Linked DNA regions of Saccharomyces cerevisiae S288C. The protein of the gene in region 4 interacts with the protein of the main gene of each other region in a biochemical or structural test. Each region holds a gene or a part of one and is shown on either strand. Other genes may lie near its edges. The genes, in order: NYV1, VAM3, VTI1 and VAM7.

Region 1 (6,112 bases), on a different chromosome or scaffold from region 4:
CTCCAAAAACCCAAGGTTACACAAAATTATCAAATGGACATATTTTTACGCTCAGGCTTCCAGAAATGGTATCATTATTATTGTATTCACTTGTATTGGTTGGGCAATCACAAGAGGCAAATCTAAATCGGAGAGGCCCATCAGCATCCTAGGCTCAGTTCCATCCGGTTTGAAAGAAGTCGGGGTTTTCCATGTTCCACCAGGATTAATGTCTAAGCTTGGTCCAAATTTGCCTGCATCCATTATTGTGTTATTGTTGGAGCATATCGCTATTTCGAAGTCTTTTGGTAGAATCAACGACTATAAAGTCGTCCCCGACCAAGAATTGATTGCTATTGGTGTCTCGAACCTTTTAGGTACTTTCTTCAATGCTTACCCAGCGACTGGTTCCTTTTCAAGGTCTGCTTTGAAGGCTAAATGTAATGTCCGTACGCCGTTATCTGGTTTGTTTTCGGGTTCATGTGTTCTTTTAGCATTATATTGTTTGACCGGCGCATTCTTTTACATTCCAAAGGCTACCTTATCTGCAGTTATCATTCACGCTGTATCTGATCTTTTGGCCTCTTATCAAACTACCTGGAATTTCTGGAAGATGAATCCATTGGACTTCATCTGTTTCATTGTCACCGTCCTAATAACGGTATTTGCCTCTATTGAAGATGGTATTTATTTTGCCATGTGCTGGTCATGTGCAATGCTCATTTTAAAAGTGGCTTTCCCAGCGGGAAAATTCTTGGGTCGTGTGGAAGTCGCTGAAGTTACTGATGCTTACGTCAGACCGGACTCCGATGTGGTTAGCTACGTGTCTGAAAATAACAATGGTATTTCCACTTTAGAAGATGGTGGTGAGGATGACAAGGAAAGTTCCACCAAATACGTCACAAATTCCTCCAAGAAAATAGAAACAAACGTTCAAACAAAGGGCTTTGATTCTCCATCTTCTTCGATTAGCCAGCCAAGGATAAAATACCATACTAAATGGATACCGTTTGATCATAAATACACAAGAGAATTGAACCCGGACGTTCAGATTCTCCCCCCACCAGACGGTGTTCTTGTTTATAGGCTATCAGAGAGCTACACCTATCTCAACTGTTCCAGACACTACAACATCATAACCGAAGAAGTTAAAAAAGTTACCAGACGTGGTCAATTAATTCGCCACAGAAAAAAATCTGACCGTCCATGGAATGATCCTGGTCCATGGGAAGCACCTGCTTTCTTAAAGAATTTGAAATTCTGGAAGAAAAGGGAGAACGACCCTGAATCCATGGAAAACGCGCCCAGCACCTCAGTCGATGTTGAAAGAGATGACAGGCCATTGCTGAAAATACTATGCTTAGACTTCTCACAAGTGGCACAGACAGACGCTACGGCTCTTCAATCATTGGTTGATTTGAGAAAGGCCATAAATCAATATGCAGATAGGCAAGTTGAATTCCACTTTGTGGGTATCATTTCACCATGGGTGAAGAGAGGTTTAATTAGCAGAGGATTTGGTACTCTGAACGAAGAATACAGTGATGAATCCATTGTTGCCGGTCATACAAGTTATCACGTCGCCAGAGTACCTCAAGGCGAAGAAAATCCTGAAAAATATAGCGTTTATACCGCTTCAGGAACAAATCTACCTTTCTTCCATATCGATATCCCAGATTTTGCTAAATGGGATATCTAGCCAATGCATTTACAATGGACATGCAAACATTTATATCATCTCTTTTTTTCTATATTCCTAAACCAAAAAGTTTTCCCCCTTAAAAGTATACATTTAATATCATAATGAGATAGACACTGTTTATATAATAAGAAATAATAGGTAGGATGGTGCCATCGTGAGCATATACATACCTATAAATATTTACCTTATTTTTATTTTATTTTTCTCTTCCTCTCAGGAACAAAAGAAATACAACCGTTATTAATGTTATTGTCGTGGGACAGCTCCCCTTTTTTTTTATTTACTTACCACAGATAGAAAAACATGAAAGCAGCACTTACAAATAGTATAATAGTGAAAGTTAATAACGTAATATTTTTGACCTTCTGCCACCACATTATTTCTTTTATATTGACCGCTTTGCGCCTAAATTTATTACTGCTGCTATTTAGTTGGGAAGTTTTATCCACCAATAAAGAAACTCTTTCTTGTCTCTCCAAGAACTTGTCGATGTTATCGTTCATTATCTGGATGACGTCCTTTATTTGGTCTTCGGTGGCATCCCCGATGTCACTTATAGTGTTCTGACCATTCCCATTACTAGATTGGCCATTTCCAGAACTATTTAAAGTTTGGTTACGGTATTCGACCAGCTCTTCATGGAAAGAGTCTAGTATTTGACCTACATGCGAACTTAAAAGTTCGTTTGTAGCGTTGGACTCGTATTCCTGCAGCCCACTTAGTATCCTGATGGGCAAAATCTTGGGCATATCTACTAATGTGAAGCAAACGTACACAGTTTTGGGGTCATGGTCATCCGTGGAGTAGAAACAATCGAATCCGTCGATGAGATTCATTGACATCTTGGTAACTTTGTTCCCCTTGATCGGAACTACTTTGGGTAATACCATATCCATGATCAAATTATGGAAAATGACCGGCGTTATCTGCTCGTTTGCTGAAGTTATTGTACCATAGTTTTCGTTTTTCTGGAACGGCTGGAAACAACTAGATATTGTTTCACCATTTTTTATAACTTCCACATAACTTACTAAGACCATATGCAAAATCAAGCAAAATGGAACGTTAGTCTACTGAATGTAACATAGTAAAATTATGGCATGGGGGGATGAGCATTCGCATAATCCCTTTTTTAAACATTTGTTAATTGTGTAGAAATATTTATACATACCATTAAAGCGTTTCATTTGGTAAAAATATAAAAGTCCAATGCTCTAACAGCTTAATAAATTGTCGCTTTTCACTCTGTTCTTCAAATTTAATAGCTGTTGCTCCAACTTAGTCAAGTGCTAGAAAATTCATAGAGGGGCTTTTTTTCATCATTATTGTGACCTCATTTTTTCTTTCTTCGATCGTTTGAGGCGAATATTACCCGGGCGCTTGGTGGTAATGCGTTGTTTTAAATATTATATATAATGAATGTGGTGGTAGAATATATAGTTTACTATTTTTAGATAATGCAAATGGGTGGGGTGAAGGCGATGAAAAGGTGGGGGGTCTATCAGAGAAACCTGCTGTCACACCAGCCCTTTACGACATATTGAATCTCTCTCGTAGGTGCGGAAGTCTTATTGGTGACTTTGCCTAAATTTAGTTTTCCGCATGGTTTGAGCATTGTGCCGCCATTGTTGAACCATGGCTTGACGTCTGAGTGTACGCGGACCAAAGAACTTTTCAAATCCGCCGTTGCATGTTCGCTTGCGGATTCACGGCCTTGCGAAGGTTCCGTATTGCTTGTCGTTGCAACAAAGTGCAAATTCCAGGGGGTAGAATCGCCAAAAAGATCATTTCTTGTTTCATGGACCATGTCAGACCATAATTTTTTCCTAGTAATTAGGGCAAGCTTAATATCGTTCGTAGAGACATTTGGCTCCTTTTTGATTTCCAAAGACCGAATTTCGGAATACGTTAGCTGCTTCAACAGATGGTCATCTACTTCGACTTCGGGTAAAATACTCTTCCTTTTACATGATGTTTCAATAGAGTATAACTTTAGGAAATTGGTATTCAAACTTTTTTGTCTTATTCTTTTATTGGGCAAGAGCTCGCTAGATGCAATCGAACCGTCGGTCTCGGGCGATGGTGATGCAGATGGCCATTGTTCTAATTCTACCAGGTCATTTTCGTAAATCATGTTTTCTGTAGTCGATTTGCTCCTACTCTTCCTTCTTGAAGTCTTGCCGCCTTTCTTGTCGATGATTTGGAAGTCCACAGAGGTCGGACGAAGTTTGGCATCGGACGACGCAGAAACCAGTGAAAGGGCAGAGGACGATCGCGGACGCCGTTCGTATACGGGAGGAAAGATATCGACTAAATCCTTAACCTCCCAGTCGTCGAACAAATCGAGATCATTTATGTTTATTATTTTCATTTTGGGCACGACCGGCTCAGCCAGTACCTCATCGCCAATCGCGGGGGTCTGCAAATCGACAGCGTCAGCAATATCATCTGTCAAGGGATGAAGTTTAGAGGAGCTCAATGAAGAACAGTCGCTTTGAGCTTCCTCGGAGAACTTCCTCTTTATGCTCTGTGTTAAGTGGCCCTCATGTATGGGGCATTCGCCCGATAACGTCTTGGCGGAATTTGTTTTCCTAACTTGCGACATGACCGAGCTTAAGGACGGGGTCATCAAAGATGAGCGATTTTCGTTCAGCAGTTCGGAATCGTCTCGAGCCTTCAGTATTCTAGTCCTCTTGAAGCTATTCCTCTTGGTTAGTGTTCTAGTACGTTCAGCGCTTCCTTGACCATCGAACTGCGGCTTAGTGGAGTGGAAATAAATCTCATCGCTCACCGTCCTATTACTTGTGGCGGTCTTGTTCATGCTGGCGCTGGCTAACTTGTTATTCTTCTTATTAGTAGCGGTAGCGTAAAATGACTTGGGATAAAATACCTTTGATGAGTCGCTCCATGAGTGCAATGCGCCATCATCACGTATGCTTTTGATGAGGCAATGTTCATGCACATGAGCATCGTGCATTAGTGTGTGATTTGTGTTCACGTCCAGCAGCATTCTATAATTATGTCTTGTTGAAAGTGTTCTGTATGTTCGTGTCTATCCAAAGAAACAAGTAATTGAGAAAACTAGCCATCAAATACTTGTGAAGAAGCGAGTTTCCATTCTCTGTTTCACTCGTTTGGCGTTCTCACCATCCCACTTTTATTTCATTGGCTTTTTTAACACAATAAGGCGCCTTCAGCACCTTTGCCGCGCATTAAGGATGGCCACTGACGAAAAACCGGATAAAAAAAGACGAAAAAATGCCGTCTGACCCTAGTCAGGAGCCGCCTCATACACCCTAATTATTTTGGCGCTAAGCCCTAAGCATCATTATTACCCGACATGAAGCGACAGAAGCCCTACGGATGTGCGGCTGGAAAAGAAAGTTTCATGAAGAACCAGTTGATATATATTTTACTATATACTTTTGCTGTGTATTTCTATATGAGGCTAGTTGGTTGGTGGGAACTGGAAGTGAAAGTTCTGTTCTTTAGGGTGCAGCGGTTGCTGTTGCTGTTGCTGTTGCTGTTGCTGCTGTGGTTGGATTGATGCTTGTGATGTTTGTGGTGCCTGTGGTGCTTGTGGTACAGTTTTGCTGCCAGTTTGCTGCGAGTATGTAATTATGGGGTGAGCGGCATTTACATTAGGTGCTGGATTGATGGCTGGATTTGTTTTTTCGTAAGCGGCGATACTAGGCGTTGTGCTACTTGACATGTTTGCAAATGCATTATTAAACACTGGAGGTGAGACAGACTCGGTTAGTTCCCTTTTCTTTGCAAGCTCTTCGAGCCTTTTCTTTTCTTCCTTCATTTTTTTTCTTCTTTCACGGTCTTCCTGTTGTTTTCTTTGTTTGGCCCTTATTATTTTCAATTCAGGCACAAAAATGTTGCGCAGCTCAAGTTCCAAGTCCCTGATGCACCAAGCGCAGATAAAAGTGGAGCATTCAGACAGCGGTTTGCGTTTATCAGTAGGTCTTGAAGACTTGGTGCTGGGTTCAAGTGTGGATTGGGGTCTGCGAGAAGACCTTCTATTGCCGTGCGAATTTCCCATTATGATGACGCCAAAATCACGTTGCGACAGCGTGTGCTGTGGGGATTTTGTGGTTGAAGATATAAGCTCTATAATTTTTGGAGGTTGGCATTCCCAATGCTGCCACCTGTAACAATGATCACAGCATATCAATGGGCGGTTATTGAAGAGGTCAGTCTCCGTGTCTTCGGTGATAATCATGGGCGCCAGCTCTGGTTCGCCCGGACATTGGAAAACAGAATCTTGGTTGTCGGGCTCTTGCTGCGGAGTAAAGATCCCGTAGTTGGCAAGCTCATCTAGCTCTTCCTTTGTTATGCAGAAGTCACTAGGCAATTCAGGGACGTCTCCCGTCTGTAGTGGCCCAACAGTTCCAGGAATTGGTGGTTCCACCGGGATTATACTAG
Region 2 (6,084 bases), on a different chromosome or scaffold from region 4:
TATGTATGGTAGCCCTTTTAGCACCAGTCAATGCTTCCACGGTTCTTTTAATCAAGTGTTCTCTAGATTGGACAAGACATTGAATACCAACATCATCTGGAGCGTTTTCTACAGCATACCTGGTGAAGTCGAAATCTGTTTGAGATGCAGAGGGGAAAGACACTTCGATTTCTTTGAAACCGATGTTGATCAACTTGTGGAAATATTCTTTCTTTTGAGCCACAGACATTGGGTCCGGTAAAGATTGATTACCGTCCCTCAAGTCAGTAGACAGCCAACGTGGAGCCTTTTGAATAGTTTTGTCAGGCCAAATCCTCTTGACCATTTTTGGTGGAGCAAACGCCCTATATTTTACCGATGGGTCCCGTAGCATATTTTTATAAGTCAGTTTGACGGGTGGGATAGACCTTCTTAGTTTACTAGCATGCTCAGCTAGCGCTATGAACGAATGTTTTACCATGGCTACGCGGCTAAATGATAATGTGCCGATAGTATTATCCTAAGGAGAAGACCCTTATAAGCCGAAAACAAGGATTGTGATTTCGTGGAGTAAAGTAAGGCATTATTGAAATTTAACAGCTAACTTCCAATCAAGCCAGTAAGAGGCAAAACTATGTTGTAGTTGTGATTCTGGACATCGTTTTTAATTTTTTTTTTTTTTTTTTTTTTTTTTTTCATTTTTTGGCAAGGCCGAAAGAGATGGAAAAATATGAGTCATTCACTACGACCGTTACCGGACCATGATGGCGCGCGGCACCAAAATAGACGAATGAAGTATATAACAAGCGCCATGCAGAAGGAAGAGCTAACATTAATTACTATACAGATAAATGTTTAGTGTTTGAATATGACAACATATAAAAGAAGACTGTGCCCAATGCTCTTATTTTAAATGCCTGTGAAATAATTATATGCAGTGTCATGTACGTAAAATTAAATAAAAACTAAAGTTACAAACAATATGAGCGTGATGAAATGAAGTAAATTGTGTGAAATGAATTAATATGAAACGAGGGAACTAGCCAGAAAAGCGGATTTTCTATCGTTGTTCTACTTAATCAAAGTTCTAATCTTGATTAACTGATATCATGCAAATTTAGCTTTTTAAAGCCGTTTTCAACGCTTTTTTCATTTTTACCGATCGCTTTATTGGGTAATGGCGATGAGGATGAAGATATTTGTGTCTCCACAGATGATGAAGAGGCTATCTTTGTTGATGACTGTTTTGTCCTTTCAAACGGTTTTGAACATTGCTGTTATAATGGCTACAAATGACGCCTGAAGGCTGTTTGAAAGATTTCCGTTTTTTAACAAAGTTAAGTTTTTGCAATAAACCTTTCCCCGAGTTGAGAATTCCTGTATTTTGCGGTTTTTGCAGATTTCTAGTGCTGGTATTCTTGTAGGTCGAGCTGGTAGTGTTGAGTGAGGAAGAGGACTCGCTTGGCCGAGAAGTGCGATCGCTGCATTGCGACTCATTGGTCGTGTTTGCAGACGTTTCTTGAATGATAGTTGACAAACCATTGATATCAGGCTTCTTAAGATACGAATTTCTATCTTCAGAAATATCCTCCACGCCTAATGACGAAAAAGAAGTTGTAGACTCGTTTTTGAGATCTTGTTCCGTAGCAGAGTCATTGTGGGCATATGTGGCGGAGTACTTTTTCTCATTAACAGAACTCACAAATCGGTGATACCCGTCCATTAATAGGCCCATCACATGGCTAATGGCACACAGGACGTCTACGTCGGCAGGTACTTCATTGTTAGCAAAGCACTTCTCAAATATCTCCCTAGTATCCTGTGAAAAGTTGCATTCTTTGGGGGAGTCCACGGCAATGTATTTTATGTACAACGACTTGTTCCAAACTTCCAAGAGCTTCTCCTCGCTAATACTCCTGTTTTGCTTAAGCTGGAGGAACTGATGAGCTTTTTCGAAAAATTCTAAATTTTCCTCACAATGAGCTCTTTTTAGAAATTTGTAAAACTTTTGTATTGTGTAAGGAGAACGCATCCGTTCGTGATGCCCTTTTCGCAGTTGAATCAGCACTGTATTGCTACTTTCAGCATCGCCGTCGCTGCGACTATTCTTTTCTAGCGGTATCAGTATGTCGCATAGACTTGGTACACTCGCCATCTGGCATGTGCTGAATTTTCTTCGTTTTATGTATCAAAGGTGCCTTACCTAAGATGTTTTGATATTTATATAGCCAATGTAATATTTTTTTTTTCTTCTCTTTCCTTGCCTCGTCGCTTGAGTTGTTTGCTTTTAGTGATCACCGTTGACTTTGTAAAAATCCGTTTAGTCAATTTTGGCAACTGGTTCAAGCAATGTGCAACGGAAATGGTATAGATGTGATGTGGTATAATATGTTATTAATTTGATTACTAGCGCCTTAACTATCTTTATTCAGCAAGTTTTTTTTTCATCTCCACAAAGGGACGTTTACAAAGGGTATCCCGAAAGAGATACTACATGACGACGTCATATATACGTATATCTCAAGAAAAGAATTGTTAATGATTATGTTTTTTTTTTCTTCTTTCAATTTCCTTTTTCTGATTGTGCTAAAATGAGCGCCGAGCCGCTTCGATCGGGGTACCTGCGCACTTTTCTAGCGGTTCGGTTCGGCAGTTCTTCCCGAAGCATTTAACGCAACCTTGTTCCTCATTCTCCAGCAGGTCTGTGCTTGGTGCGCGACTTTAGCTGCAACGGCGTGGGTGTGCCGCAGCGGACATTTCTTAGTTAGATGTCATCTCGGCTGGACCGGGACGCCACAGTAAGATTTCAAACTGCTGAAAATTTTCGCCAGCAGAATAGCCGCTACTATCAGGCCGTAGCGACAGGATCGTGCCCGCAATAACGTACACATCGAGGTAATTATGCATGATTTCTTTTTTTGCCGAGAAATTCTGCCATTTTTATTAATCCACGCTCTGTCCTTATCTTAGTGACAGGCAAGGATGTTCTGCAAAAGCGAAAATTGAAATAAGATAAATACTTCCGAGCCAGACACGTTCTTATGTTTATCAGGGCCCACAAGGTTCATTTAGAAGACAACGCATACAATGTTTTGTTTCTTGATAACGGTTGGCGGCCGTTAAGCAACAGTAAGGCAAATGACAGTTAACGGAAAATAACAGGGTTCTTACTTTTTACATACAGTAGCACAATCCTTTTTTTATTGGCAGTCGCTAGTAGAAATTCGTGGGGATTTACGGACTACTGAAAAAAGGTCAGTGTAGATCGTACAAAGTAGAAAAAGGAAAAAGGGCATATCGAGCCCTTGCATTTAAACTACGGAGTACAAAAAACACAGGTTGCGCACATGGGAAGTGCACTATCACTAGACATCAAAGGAAATTTTGAGTCAAAAAGAGCGGCTAAGAAACCCCCCTACCACAAAAGAATAAATGCAAAAAATAACTTATACACTCTTATACACTCTTGTTTTCGTAAATAGATAAGATTGGGTCTACCAGAAAGTCTGTGCTCAATGCGCGTTTAAGGAGATTACTAACTTAATACAGCAAGCAATACCACCATGCACACAACTATTATAATGATTAGGGTGACCTTACCGCATTTGTTACGGTCCCTCTGATGCTGGTCTGCTCTGGTTAATTGTTTGTTTGCATTCTGCATGTTATCATGTAAATGCGAGATATTCTCGTCTATGGTGGTTACTTGTTCTCCCTGTTCTTTCACTAATGAACCGAGCTGATGGAAAATAGCATTGACTTCTTGTACCGCCGTATGAATGCGTCCTATCTGTTGGGATCTTTCCTGGTGAATGATTGTTTGAAAATCTAGTTCTTCTTGGGACAATCCTTGCTGTTGTTGTTCTTGTTCTTCTTGCAGCTGTAATTGGTGTTGTCCTTCGTTATGCAGTAAAGGACTCTGCTCGTTTACTTTTATAGAAATATAACTAGACTCTGGATCTTGTCGCACGGCTTCAGTTCGCGGATGGATGTCTTTTCTTTCCTTAGATGTTCCTGGTGAAATAGGCGTTTTTAGAGGGAACAGACTCTTCCTTTGATTGTATGATTGTTGTAGGGATTGATACTTCGTTTTCAGGTTCTTGAAATCAGCAGACAACTTTCCATTTTGGTGAATGAGGATGTTGCTCTCAATTTTATCCCTTACACTGGTGCAGTTCGGTATTAACTCTGTTTCAATTTTGTATCTTAGTTCTTTGGAGTCCCGTTTGGAACCAATTTTGGTGCATTCCTTTTCCAGCACGCGGGATTGTTCAGCGAATGTCTCAATTAAATTGCTTAATTCCTTCGTTTTTTGATTTGTTGAGAATTGTGGTTCTTGCTGGGAGTTACCCTTTGAAGATTGTGCTTCGATGTCGAAAAAGGACATAATCTCAACTTTCTGCAGTGGATATTAGTTGGCCAATTTGTTAATGCTGATCCCGTGGTTTTTTATTGTTCTATTTTCCTTCCTTTAATCTCCTGGCTGCTTTCTTTACATCAAAATCAAAATTCACTACAAAAATGTATATAGAGTTTTTACTGCGCATCTCGCGAAAAAAAAAGTTGTGATGTGAAACTCGAATATGAGGCTGAACGAATATTATCATTTGATTATAATAAGTATTGACTTGTATGATCTTAGTTTTGCTCTTCCTGTGTCCTCGTCAGCACCTAGGTAAACTATATGTTACAAATAGATCACTTTTATCCTGAGGAAAACAACCTAATTTATTGTACATACTAACTGACCAAGAGGAAGTTCACCATTGACTGCCCTTATTTGCATTTTAAAAGTTGCGGTTTCTGGTGTTACCTGTTAGAAGGCACCTTTTTAGCAACCGGTACAAGGAAAAACTCGTTGGAAGATTTTTTTTTACTTTCCTTTCCGTAAACGCAAGCTCACAGTTATTCCTGAAGAAATTCCTAATTGGTTCTTGCAAAATCTACCAATGAATCCTCTTGATCTTAAAATGTCTGACTGATTATTCAAAAGAAGGGGGAATATATATTTACCTCATTAGTAATATCTATCGCTTTGGTTTGGTTTATATCCCTGATATGATTGATAATTTTCGGTTGGATATGGACTTCTATGATTAGAGGAGGGAGTATTGTAACTGTTTCCCTGGAGGTTATTATTGATGTTATTATTATCGTAATAATAGTTCTCGCCATAATCGCTGATGTCAAAAATTGGAGATTGTGAAGCAACATGAGCGTTGTTGCTACCAGTATTGGCCGCATTTTGGATAAACGAATTTCTAGCATCATATTGCGGCTGAGGGCTGCTACCTTCGAAATTTTCTTCTTCATACACTAGAGGGGCCACCCTACTAGGGCTGCGTCCTTCTTTATTTCTTTCCTTCTGTTGTTTTTTCCTTGTTTTCTCTTTTTGTTTTTCCAAATCGAAATCTTCCTCTAATTCATACACCTCATTACTGGGAGTTTTGACTTCGTCGTAAAATGTATCATTCTTCGCATCGTTTCTATAATACGCACTTTCAGGTTGTTGAATAGGCTGATAAATCACAGTAGAAGGAGGAGCCACGCCCATATTAACTCTACTAAAACCCTCATTTACCGGCATTGTATTGTTTCCATTTCTGTCATTAGAACAACGACAACACCAACAAATGAACTGACCTATTCCTGTTACCCCTTGCCTGAAACATGTCAGTAAGCCCCCAATCAACCAAATCACAAGAATACAGGCCAAAACAATACCAACAATCGCAATAATTTTACATGCTTTATTGTCCATGCAGGTGTCCCAGCTTCGGAAACTTTTTCCTGTACTTACTACACCATCTGTAAAGGACGATCTCGGAAATAGTGGTACTATTTCTTTCAACTTGCAAACGTTCATTACTGTGTATACGCTTGGGAGTCTTTGATTATATTTCTAGTATTTTCTTGAAACGGTTATTTTGCTAAAAATAAACAAGATAAAAAAAATCTAAAAAGTCACGACCGGGGGTGGTTATTCTTGATCTAAGTAGCAAATATGTAATATATTTGAAACTTTCTTGCGCCCCTTTAATTTTGAAGTTCTTCTAGGCTTTTATCCAGTTCTAGAGTAGAAGTTGCGGTTCCAGTAGATCTTGA
Region 3 (6,007 bases), on a different chromosome or scaffold from region 4:
AAATTTACAAATGACCCAAAAAACTCTATCTTTAAGGCACAAAACCTGGCTGTCGTAGATGAAGATGAGTTTGATTTGATTTTCGATAACAGAGAGGAGGAAGCTGATAACTTCTACTGGAGGATTACACCTTTGCCAATCAGTGATGAATTAAGAAACCTTCAAAGACAAGCTTTTTCTGGTTTGCTATGGACTAAACAGTTCTACAATTTTACATATGATGCTTGGTATAATGGTGACGCCAATGTTAAGCCTCGCCCTCCCCCTAATAGAGCTAATGGCAGGAACAAGAACTGGAAGCACCTTTACATCGAAGATATCTTATCAATGCCCGACAAATGGGAGTATCCATTTTTTGCTTCATGGGATACTGCGTTTCACTGCATTCCTTTAGCTATGATTGATCCAGAATTTGCAAAACGGCAATTGGATTTATTAACCAGAGAGTGGTACATGCATCCTAACGGTCAAATTCCGGCATACGAATGGAACTTCAATGACGTAAATCCACCAGTCCATGCATGGGCTGTGTATCGTGTTTTCAAGATCGAAAGAAACATGTACAACCGTGAAGATCGTACATTTTTAGAACGAGTTTTCCAGAAGCTTTTGTTAAATTTTACATGGTGGGTCAACAGAAAGGATACTGAAGGTAAAAATGTTTTTGAGGGCGGATTTTTGGGTCTTGATAATATTGGCGTTTTCAACAGATCAGAACCACTACCCACTGGCGGTACGCTTGAACAGGCTGATTCTACAGGTTGGATGGCCTTTTTCAGCCTTCAAATGCTAAATATTGCATTAGAGCTCGCCAAAGAAAACCCGGTTTATGAAGATATTGCCTCTAAATTTTTTGAACATTTTATCTTAATCAGTGACTCTATGTCCTTTGAATACGCTACTGATATTACGGGAGAGAAATGTAAAGAAGTTATCAAACAAAACCTATGGAATGAAGCAGACAAATTTTATTACGATGCCATCTCTTGGGGTGACCACAAGGTGCAACTACCAATAAGATCTCTCGTGGGATTGATCCCACTATATGCTTCTATGACTTTAGAGCCTAGTATCATAAAACAATTCCGCGGTTTCAAGAAGAGGGTTGATTGGTTTGTGAACAACCGTCCAGAAATCTTTGATAGAAACATTGCGTCCATGTCAAAAAAAGGAGTGGGAGAAAGACTACTTTTATCCCTAGTTACTAAGGAAAGATTAACAGCCATACTGTCACGTTTGCTGGATGAAACTGAGTTTTTGTCACCATATGGTATTAGATCTCTTTCCAAATATCATGAGAAGCACCCATTCGAAATGAATGTAAATGGTGTCGAATATATGGTCAAATATTTGCCGGGCGAATCAGACTCGGGTATGTTCGGCGGTAATTCTAACTGGAGAGGGCCCATTTGGTTTCCTACCAGCTTTTTAATAATGGAAGCATTACAAAGGTTTTACCTGTACTACGGTTCCGACTTCAAAGTAGAGTGTCCCGTAGGTTCAGGAGATTATTTGAATCTTGCTGAAGTTGCCGAAGAACTTGGATATCGTATGATTCACTTATTTGTTCCAGACGAAAACGGGGAGCGCGCCATTCATTATGGTGATCACTCTAAGTTTCTGTCTTCTGATCCATATTTCAGGGATTATGTGCCATTTTTTGAATACTTTGACGGTGATACTGGAAGAGGGCTTGGCGCTTCACACCAATGTGGTTGGACTGCTCTTGTGGCCAAATGGATAAGTGATGTAGGTATATCCTGTGTAAGACTACCTCGTACGCCAAGATCATCTGTGGCAACGACCGCTTCAACAGAGAGCTCTGAGCAAGGTCCCAAAATGAAGAGAATGGCAAGACGTAAGAGTGCAAAGTCTTTGGTAAACTACACTGCCACCATTTTGGACTTAACCGAAGAAGAAAAGCGCCATCATAGGATAGGGGGCACCCATTCTGGGTTGACACCACAAAGCAGCATTTCAAGTGACAAGGCTAGACATTTGATGGAGGAAATGAATGAAGAGGAAGGTATTCACGAAACTGTGGTACCTGAAGATCGTCACAACTTTGAAACCAAGCTTATAGGCAAGCTAAAAGATAAGGTGAAAAATATGAAAGTAACTGACAAGGCTAAAGATGAGGATATAGACCCAATGGACCCAATGAGTCCGTTGAATAAGGATGTGTCTTGATTAACTGCGGTGAACCTTCAATATCTGTACGTTTGAAAAATATTTCCAACGATATACCTCTATATTTTGATCTATAGAATATTTAATTGCAGTAGTTTTTTATCAGTAAGGTAGCGTTGATATTACTAGTGAAGGTAACTCTATAGTTCCTTGACATGTTCTTTAGATTCTAGAGGTTTTTTATTGAATTTGTTTTCCCACCTTATTTAAACTTTGAGAACAAAACTAGCAAAATCAATAATATAAGGACTGCGATAATGGCATAGCTTATGAATTTATTAGCAACTAGCCTTCTAGTCATTGTTTTTAGTGTCTTTATACTTTTATCCACATATGAATCCGCTTGAAACAAGGTCTGTCTTGCATTTTCCAAAGTTTCTCTCTGTGACCTTAAATCCATCATTATTTGTGACCCTATTCCTTCAGTTTCATTTGCTATTCTACTGGCATCTTTTAGTCTATCTCCCGATTTCTGTAAGATTGCATGGTTGCTCAACAACTGTTGCCTTTGGTCATCGTCAATATTAGATGCGTTAAGATCTCCAAAAAGTCTATCACGATCGCCTGAGTCTACTAAGGATTGCAGTGGTCGTTTGATATCGCTCTGTATAGTCTTCTTCCATTCTCTTAACTTCGCCTTGTACGTAGCACGTTCTGAGGCATCGCCTATGCTGTTATTAACTTCTACATCCATCTGATCTAGCAGGTCAAACAACTCATCTTGTTGCTGTTCTACGTGCTTCAGTGTAGTATTTCTCTGTGATAACGGTTGTGAGGGGGCCTCTGCTAAGCTCGCTTTGGCTTGTTCTAAGGTTGTTTTGAAGTCAGATTCGTATGATATTAATAGGGAACTCATAGTAAGCCATGCAGCAATGTAAAGAGTGCGGTTGATTCGTTTTATACAACTTAATGTAAAGCTTTACACTTTTCCAAGAATAGTAATTGCCCTATATAGCACGACTACTCCACTCCTAACTTTCATTGAAAATTAGACAGTCATGTGATCAGTAATATCGTCCATAGTGATATTTGTTTGTTTACCATTTTTGTTCTTATTTACTCTCTAATATGATTCTAGTATATGAAAGATACCACTGTCGTAGCTCGTATCAAAATAAAACTAGTCAGTCGTTGACCATTGAGCATATCGTCCGAGAATAAGGCTTTACTGTATTATTTTTTGATATCCACACGTTATTGAGCTCATTCACTGATCGACACATTTAGGCGGCTTTTCCGTTTGGCTGAAGCAACTTTGAAACACAACTACGACATTATAATTAAGCGCCTAAATAAGTGAATTTTGTGCCATAGGGTTGGACCGTGTATATATAAGAGCTATTCACTATTTTAATATTTGTTTTGGCATTTGAAACTCGTTGACATAAGCTTTATTATTAGGATGAATAACTCCAAAATTCCTAAACTTTCCTTTCATAGTGATCCAAACAACGTCACTCGAGACTTTCCAAAGACAAAACGACAGAAGGTTCAGAAAAGAGAAATGGATATGATACTAACTCCTAATAACAACAAGCTAAATATATTGCACAGCTCTGGATCTGGTATACGGCGCTGCTACACTGATGACACCTCCGCTACGTATACTAAGAAACTAACCTTTGGGGGGGACCCCAAGATTATTGAAAGGGTTAAGAACAATGAACGTAAGGTTAGAAAAGACATAGATTCACTACTGAATGCTATTTCTGAAATTGAAAAGGAATCTGTTCGTATTCATGCCAGGGAACTACCTGCAATAACATTAGAATTAGATGCAAAAGTCAAAGCGTGCAGGGAGCTACAAAATGAGATTGATGGACTATCAACGGAGATGGACTTGAAGGATAATCAATGTGATCTTCAAAGAAAGAATGTTGAGCTATCATCAAAAAATATAGTGTCTATGCATGCAGTAAAAGTACAAGAGTTCGAAAACGATTTAGAGGAAGAGCTATCGAATGCCAAAAGGGAGTGGACGTATAAATTAATGGAAGTAGAAAATTTGAAACCTGACGAAAGGTTAACTGACGAAATGCGACAGCTTAAAACAGAATTCGAGGAGGTCAATAGGAAACTATTCATTCTACAGAATGAAAATGAGAACGAGTGTAAAAACTACAAAAAAGAATTGGACAAGAAATTCGAGATATTCAAGAAAGTTAAGAACGATGCTAGAATTGAATTAGATGGGGAGCAAGAAAGACTTTCGAAAGTTTTAAAAGACCTACAAGACACCCATGGTGAACTGAAAGAAAATATTAAGACGTGTAGAGATGAGTTTAACGATTTTGAAAAAAGGATTGGAGAGGCAGAAGTGAACTTCCATAGCATGGAACTTGCCGTTGTTCCTCTCAAAAAGAAGCTTGCTTCTACATCACAAGCATTGACGCAAGTGCAGGAGGAGAAGAAGCAAGTCGAAGGAGAAGCAAACAATTGGAAGAAGAAGTACGTTAATGAACTAGAAAAGGTTCAACAGGAATTATACACACGACAAAATCTGGCCACTTCAATTGAAGAAATCAAAGGATACACCCGATGCTTTGCGTATGCCAATGAACGACAAATGCCTGATGAATTCCATATCAACTATGTGGATCGGTGCATTTGCGAGAATAGTGGAGAAAAACGGGTACAAGTATTTGATAGAGTAGTTCTCGAAGAAATCCATAAGGATCACAAACGCTTATATAACGAATGCATTCCGTTCCTGGAAAAATACATCAGCAAGTTAATTAACTGCAGCATTATAGTGGTTTCGCAGCAACCCACAGCACCAATGAAAAAGACTTTGCTAAAACAGTTAATTGAGCAGTACGGTGAGAATTATAAGATGACATTGAACATTTTGCATCTTGACGGAAGTATTAAACACAGTGACGTTGGATTAGATAACCCAACAGAAATTAGAGATCTGTCACAAGATGAAGAATGCATGAACATTTTAACTTTAGATACCAAGTTGGGAAAAGATGAAGAGTCCCATTCAATGAATATATATATCGGTAGTATGTCCACGGTACAGCTGAATAGAGAGCTTGATGATGCTCCCTCAGTCCTTTCGCATATTCTCACTAAAACAAAGCAGTGCTTTGTCTTCAAGATTAACGCTGGTGAAAACATCGAGAAGGCTCTAGCCTTAGCGGGAAAGCTGAAAAGAACAATAACATTACCTCAGCTAGATTAAGAAGGCCAGATCTTGTGCGCTACAATCACTTCGTCTCGTTCCCTTACATAAAAAACTTACGTAGCTACATTGTCGTGCGTGGCATCAACCTAATTATCCTAGCAAAATAAAAGAGAATGTTACGGGACTAACAGGCGGATGTAAATTACTCACTTAAACGCAGCCAAACATCATCGAGAACTTAGGGTAGCGTGCCACAAAATTTGCATGAATAAACTTTTGTTTTCCTAATTCGACAGCATTCCCTTGTTCGCAACACTTCACTGATAGGAAATCGAATAGCGCACACTCTCTTCTGGGACATACCCCAATGCGGTAAAGCCACGAAAACACCGCGCGTAAAGGGGTAAACAAGTCCATTCCTACAACCTCTTGGAGAAATTCTTTACCTACTACAACCCCGCGCCTGATACTTTCAGTATTCATGACAACTCGAGCCAGATCCCGCTCGTGGGCGTGTTCATTCTGTGACGATCCACTAGCGACTTCTTTGTTCAGCCTGCAAGAGACGCGTTCAAGGAAGAATTCGCGATTTTACTTCTTCGAGGGAATCTCGCACCGCGTTAGTTAGTTTCCAACCTTGAAAGCATCGGAGACGCATTTTTGGCGATTTTGCTGGATTGAGCTGAA
Region 4 (6,178 bases):
ATATCATACACTATAAGTGCACCTACAGCACCACGGTAGTACGCAGACGTGATGGCCCTGTAACGTTCTTGACCTGCCGTGTCCCAAATCTGTGCTTTTATCTTCTTGTTTTCAACTTCAATGGTTCTTGTAGCGAATTCCACGCCAATCGTGGATTTGGATTCAATGTTGAATTCATCGGTTGTAAATCTCGACAACAGATTAGATTTACCCACACCGGAGTCGCCGATAAGAACTATCTTAAATAAATAATCGTAGTCGTATCCGTAATCTTCGTTGCTCATTCTTGGAAAACAATATGCTTGGTTCGCTCTTTATCACCACGCTTTTCCTCTCTTTCCAGCGCGAACCATGCAATGGCCAGCTTTATAGCTGATTCTTTTATTTGTCTTTATTGTGTTGCGCGTTCTAATGGAGGGCGCGCCGTACTATATTATATTATATTATGTTACGCTGCATTCTTCTACTGCGAGCTATATATATGTCAAAAGCTGAGTTTCTCAAGAGCTCTCAGCTTCAAGGCTGCACCATCGGCAGAAGTGTCATTCTCGATTGCCACTTGGGCTCTACTTTTCTCCAGTCCTTCCAGCAACATGCACGCCTTGCAAATGTTATTTGACGACAGATATCCACATCTAGCGCATCTATTGCCGTCAACAAATTTGACGACTCTCTTTCCAGCGTTAGATTTTTTAGCCTTTAATGCCAAATTTTCGCCACTTTGGATGATGTCTATAATGCAACTGGGCCTCACTGCTTCCAGATTCTTCATGTATTCTCTCGCAGTGCCCCTAAACGCTTCTGGGGCATAGGTACACTCAGTGGAAAAATAATCCAGCTTCATGTAGTGCGCATACAGGACAATTTCCTTTTGGTAAGAATATTTAAATGGTTTTGATCTCTTGATGGGAGAGCCGCTACTTTGTGTGATAATCGCAGTCGATTTTTCCAATCTTGCTACGTCACCACGTAGGATATTCATTAGTACTGTCTCTGCCATATCGTCTGCATTGTGGCCGGTGACAACGTGAGATATGCCCAGCTTTGCAGCACCACGGTCCAATGATTGTCTTCTAAAAACACCACAATACGTGCAACTGTTCCTTATACCAGCAACGGATACAATCTCATCCATTGTCCAATCATAGAGGTCCTTAAAGGAAAAAATCTCCAAAGGAAGGCCATACTGCTGCTGATTCCTTTTCACCGTGGCCAAGGAATCATCTCTGTATCCGATGATTCCTTCGTCAATACTCAACAGTACAATCTCAATGCCGTAATCGTAACGGTCATTCAGAAGCTTCAGCATATGCGCTAACACCGTGGAGTCTTTACCACCAGAGGCCCCCACGGCTACTTTTTCTCCCCTCTGAAACAAGTTATTTGCTACAATAGTGTTATGGATCTCCGTCTCGAACACGAGGCAGAAGCATTGTTTGCAAAGTTTAGACAGGTTTTTGGGTCTTCTAATGAGAGCCTTTCTTGAATGACATAGTTCACACAACTGTGATACCTTCACTTTTGTCGGTTTATTGACGGGATCTGAAGGAGCAGTAAACGACATGACGGTTCCTTTGCTTTACTCTTACCATATCGTCTCATCGCCAAAATTTTTCAATTACTAGATTTACAATTTTTTTTTTTAGTACAAATATACTCTCAGGATTTGTAACCCGGATAGTAACTCATTAATTCAAGCACTGTTGTTAAAATGTCTAGCCTTCTTGTTGGCTATCTGTAACCTCCTACCAGTGTTATCGACGTCATCTTCAAGTGCTGTAAGTAGCTCATTCTGTGTTTGCAGCTCCTCGTTCATCTCTAAGGCCAATCCACGTTGTGCCTGGATAATTCGGTGCAGTGCAACCAACTCTTGTTCTTGATCGCGCACCATTTGCATCTGCCCCTGTTGCAAATCGTTATTCGTTCTTCCTTGAACTTCCGTGGTTGAAGAGTTGTCACTGGTGGCAACCCCCAGAAGTCGTCCACGGTCCTGAGCTATGTTTGCTGTACCAATGTCATCGCATTCCTTGAGCAAGGACCTCAATAGAGCGGCGCGACGAGTCACTTCCGTGCTTGGAAGAGACTTCTTTTGCACATCCTGTTCTAGTCGCTCTCGTAACTTGTGGAGCTTCGTACGTGCCCTTAGTGCTCCACGCACGCTGGGTGTGCCATCACTCTCCTTATCTAAATCCAATTTAATATCTCTTATCATCTCATCCCATCCCACTTCGTCAGCAGTTTCTAGATGCTGCTGTGACTTTTCTTGAGAAACATTTGGCTTTGACAACTGCAGGAAGTCTTGCGCTATTTTTGTGTCTCTCCATCGAGAATCAAAACGATCGTTATACAATTCATTGAGGAACCTCTCTAGTCCGATCCGTCTTTCATCGATCATTTCCGGATCATCATATCTTCTTTGCCACCTCCTGTCCAATACACCGGGCTTTTCAGGGAAGTCATATGGGATGGTGCTTCCTACATCTCTCTCCAATCGTGTCTTCAGTTTCCAAAACTCGGAATACCTTTTGTAAAGGCGCTTGTTTGGTGTACTAACACCGTATAAAACATACTTGGGGTTGATTTTAACATCGTCCACCTTGATTCTTAACTTTTCACTCATTTTCCCTACAGAATTAGCTGCCATCAATATCAATTATCAACCCTTATATGACTTTATTGTTTTTGTTTTTGTTGGCTAATTAATTGATACAAATCTTTAGGCGAAAAATAAAAAAAATATAAAGTAAAGAAGGAAAAATTAGGCGATATTAAAACAAATCTAAAATAAAGACAAGAAACGAAAAAGAGGTTAATCAAGTATTGGAAAAATGTCCAAAGTGTTTATTGCCACAGCAAATGCAGGTAAAGCTCATGACGCTGATATTTTCTCGGTTTCTGCTTGCAATTCATTTACGGTAAGTTGTTCAGGTGACGGTTACTTAAAGGTGTGGGATAATAAGCTGTTAGATAATGAAAATCCAAAAGATAAGTCATATTCTCACTTTGTCCATAAGTCCGGATTGCACCATGTCGATGTCTTGCAAGCTATTGAGAGAGATGCATTTGAATTATGCCTTGTTGCTACCACTTCATTTTCTGGCGATTTACTCTTCTATCGTATCACTAGAGAAGATGAGACTAAAAAAGTTATATTCGAGAAATTGGATCTTCTAGACTCAGACATGAAAAAGCATTCCTTTTGGGCATTAAAATGGGGTGCCTCAAATGACAGACTACTTTCCCATAGGCTGGTTGCTACAGACGTCAAAGGGACCACTTACATTTGGAAGTTTCACCCGTTTGCAGATGAGTCAAATTCTTTAACACTAAATTGGAGCCCCACGTTAGAATTACAAGGCACTGTCGAATCGCCTATGACTCCAAGTCAATTTGCCACTTCTGTGGATATCTCTGAACGAGGACTAATTGCCACAGGTTTTAATAATGGAACAGTACAAATTTCAGAACTATCTACATTACGCCCGTTGTACAATTTTGAATCTCAGCATTCTATGATTAATAATTCGAATTCCATCAGATCGGTGAAATTTTCTCCTCAAGGATCCTTATTAGCCATTGCTCACGATTCAAATTCATTTGGTTGCATCACTCTATATGAAACTGAATTTGGTGAAAGAATAGGCTCCTTATCCGTACCAACCCATAGCTCGCAGGCAAGTCTGGGTGAATTTGCACATTCTAGCTGGGTCATGAGTCTATCGTTTAATGATTCTGGTGAAACATTATGCAGTGCCGGATGGGATGGTAAATTGAGATTTTGGGATGTAAAAACAAAGGAAAGAATCACTACATTGAATATGCATTGTGATGATATTGAAATTGAAGAGGATATCTTAGCTGTTGATGAACATGGAGATTCTTTAGCTGAACCTGGTGTCTTTGACGTGAAGTTTTTGAAAAAAGGTTGGAGATCTGGTATGGGAGCTGATTTAAATGAAAGTTTATGCTGTGTTTGTTTAGATAGAAGCATCAGGTGGTTTAGAGAAGCTGGCGGTAAATAATCTCTAGTAATATCTTGATATATTGCATGTAACCTTACAATCATCCATTATTCTTTTTGGTTCATAAAATTTCAGTAATATTTAATACCTTTAATAAGCCAATGTATGAATTTCACTTCACAAAAATAAATTTGCTAGTAATAAAAAAAAAAAATTGGTTTTTTTATGTATTTCTTAAATATTAGAAAGAGATAGACTCAATTCTTACATATGTATATGTGGAGAACTTGAAAAAAAAAATTAATAACAAAGTAAATGAGAAAAAATGATAAAGGGAAAGAAAAGGACAAGATGTTAAAAATCCAGTGCTTTTTTTTTTTGGTTTTCATTTTTTATAGTTTTTATTCCTGTCATAAAATTTGTTTAGTTTTTAATTTTCTTTTTTTTTCATATTTTTTTATTTTTTTTATTTTTTTTAATAAGATCACTCACCTAAGAGGTCCATATGGAGTACTAATAAAAAAAGTAATAATAATAATCTTTCTTCTTTATTTCGTTTTTCAAAAATTTTGTTAGCTTCCGATTTTCATTTTAGGAAAATATGTTTCTAGATTTTTTTTTTTCAAATTTTTCAATTTTTTTATTATATCTGTTTCGAAATTCTGTTTTCTCATGAGAGAAAATAATAAAATGATAGATTAGAAAGATGATCCTGGGCAAAAGAGAAAGTAATTCGATGGGATCAAAGAAAAAATAAGGAAAAAAAAGTTTTCACTAATACACTGCCGAATACGGAAAGTAGTTTCGCTCAAATCTTGAATGATTTATTGTGTCATCCATTGACTTCCAGCCAAGATGATGACCGTAAGACTGATTATGGACGTGAGGGGGAGGTAATTGTGGAGCGGCAGGTAAAAGTGAGTGTTGTTTTTGTTGTTGCTGTTGTTGTTGACTACTGAAATTGTAGAAGTCGTAATCAAACTGAGTTTCCGAAATTGGTGAAGAATATATATTGGGGAATTGTTGATAGTAATTCAATCTTGGCTGATTATAGTTGTAATAGTTATAATAACCATTCATACTAGAAAATTCAGACCTTGAGTTACTCTGATAAGATGGTGATGAAAACATGTTATGCGGCATCAGCATGGGGGTTTCATAATTGGAAACTGGAGATAATAGGTTGTTTGTGGAAGTAGGCTTCAAGTTGAAATTTACGTTTCTCGTATCACCAACGTTGACAATTGGAGATAATAACGTAGGAACCGCTACAGCAGGTTTGAGTTGATTTTGCTTGAAAATCTCAAAATTCTTGACGAACTCAAAATAAAGAAAAGCACTATCATACAATTCCCAGTTAAATATTCTCAACCATTGTCTCTCGAAATCATTGATAACATTTATCAGTATTCCTGTTGCCTGTGACCATGAGTTATTGGTGAAAGTTTTGTCATCGTTGAACTTGTTTGCTAATATGAACGCAATCATAGTATTTTGATAAATGATATTGATCGAATTGCCACCAATTGAATGTATCCCATTAGATAATTTATTGATATACTTGAAAAGATAATCTATAGCCAAAAAAATAGTAGCTGAAGGCAATCTCGTGGCATTCAACACAGAAGATATGCCCTTGAAAAAAAGATCAGTGGTCTGGTCATCAGTACTATAGTTCGCGTTGAAGGCAACAAAGGCATTTTCCATGATAAATTTTGACATTATAGAAATATCGTAGTCCAAGTTCTCACTGACGCCCCCATTTACTTGGTTAGATTGTTGTGGTTGTTGTTGTCCATCCCGAATCATTTGAACAGGAGGAGGAATAACGTTGCTGTTATTGTTACTAGTGTACATTAGGCCCGGAGGGGGAAGGATAGGTGGTTGCTGGTGCTGTTGAAGTGGTGCAGGAGGAGCATAGTAAGTAGAACTTGGCTGATTGAAGTAACCTAAAGAAGCCATGGATGGCAACTGAGTATGAACTGATTGCGAGGGAACATGACCTAAATATTTAGGCAGTTGCCTAGCAACATTAACAGCAGAAGTAGCCGAACCTTTCGGAAAAGGCAAACTAATTGGATAACCACTAGAATTACCCATCGTTTCAGGATAATACTTGAAAGTATTAGCCATTTCTATATGAAGGGGGGTTTGTTGGGGGGAGGGGGGCTGAAGACGAATTAACTCAATAACTGTCTTAATAATGTTAAAGAAAA

Evidence for each region.
Region 1: the proteins of VAM7 (region 4) and NYV1 form a complex in vitro, tested with the Saccharomyces cerevisiae proteins (9 studies listed by BioGRID).
Region 2: the proteins of VAM7 (region 4) and VAM3 form a complex in vitro, tested with the Saccharomyces cerevisiae proteins (13 studies listed by BioGRID).
Region 3: the proteins of VAM7 (region 4) and VTI1 form a complex in vitro, tested with the Saccharomyces cerevisiae proteins (8 studies listed by BioGRID).

The regions. Positions count from the first base shown.
Region 1 is NC_001144.5:324,548-330,659, forward strand, and holds NYV1 (Nyv1p), read right to left. Parts: upstream 2,869-6,112; coding exon 2,853-2,868; intron 2,712-2,852; coding exon 1,966-2,711; downstream 1-1,965. Other genes in the region: SUL2 (sulfate permease), read left to right, coding at 1-1,678; GIS3 (Gis3p), read right to left, coding at 3,183-4,691; IOC2 (Ioc2p), read right to left, coding at 5,130-6,112. UniProt on the Saccharomyces cerevisiae protein: Vacuolar v-SNARE required for docking. Only involved in homotypic vacuole fusion.
Region 2 is NC_001147.6:517,403-523,486, reverse strand, and holds VAM3 (SNAP receptor VAM3), read right to left. Parts: upstream 4,367-6,084; coding exon 3,515-4,366; downstream 1-3,514. Other genes in the region: 2-isopropylmalate synthase LEU9, read right to left, coding at 1-460; GTPase-activating protein RGS2, read right to left, coding at 1,205-2,134; YOR105W (uncharacterized protein), read right to left, coding at 4,966-5,292; PIN2 (Pin2p), read right to left, coding at 4,997-5,845. UniProt on the Saccharomyces cerevisiae protein: Required for vacuolar assembly. Provides the t-SNARE function in a late step of the vacuolar assembly. Required for homotypic vacuole membrane fusion, autophagy and fusion of biosynthetic transport vesicles with the vacuole.
Region 3 is NC_001145.3:656,153-662,159, forward strand, and holds VTI1 (v-SNARE protein VTI1), read right to left. Parts: upstream 3,047-6,007; coding exon 2,393-3,046; downstream 1-2,392. Other genes in the region: YMR196W (uncharacterized protein), read left to right, coding at 1-2,190; CIK1 (Cik1p), read left to right, coding at 3,593-5,377. UniProt on the Saccharomyces cerevisiae protein: t-SNARE found in various SNARE complexes involved in multiple transport pathways. The composition of the t-SNARE complexes is specific for a limited number of v-SNAREs and therefore allows only the vesicles carrying the matching v-SNARE to fuse.
Region 4 is NC_001139.9:87,898-94,075, reverse strand, and holds VAM7 (Vam7p), read right to left. Parts: upstream 2,645-6,178; coding exon 1,694-2,644; downstream 1-1,693. Other genes in the region: Rab family GTPase YPT32, read right to left, coding at 1-284; NCS6 (Ncs6p), read right to left, coding at 485-1,564; SKI complex subunit WD repeat protein SKI8, read left to right, coding at 2,829-4,022; CLG1 (Clg1p), read right to left, coding at 4,737-6,095. UniProt on the Saccharomyces cerevisiae protein: Essential for proper morphogenesis of the vacuole. May exist as structural reinforcement on the surface of the vacuolar membrane and be required for maintenance against rupture by osmotic pressure.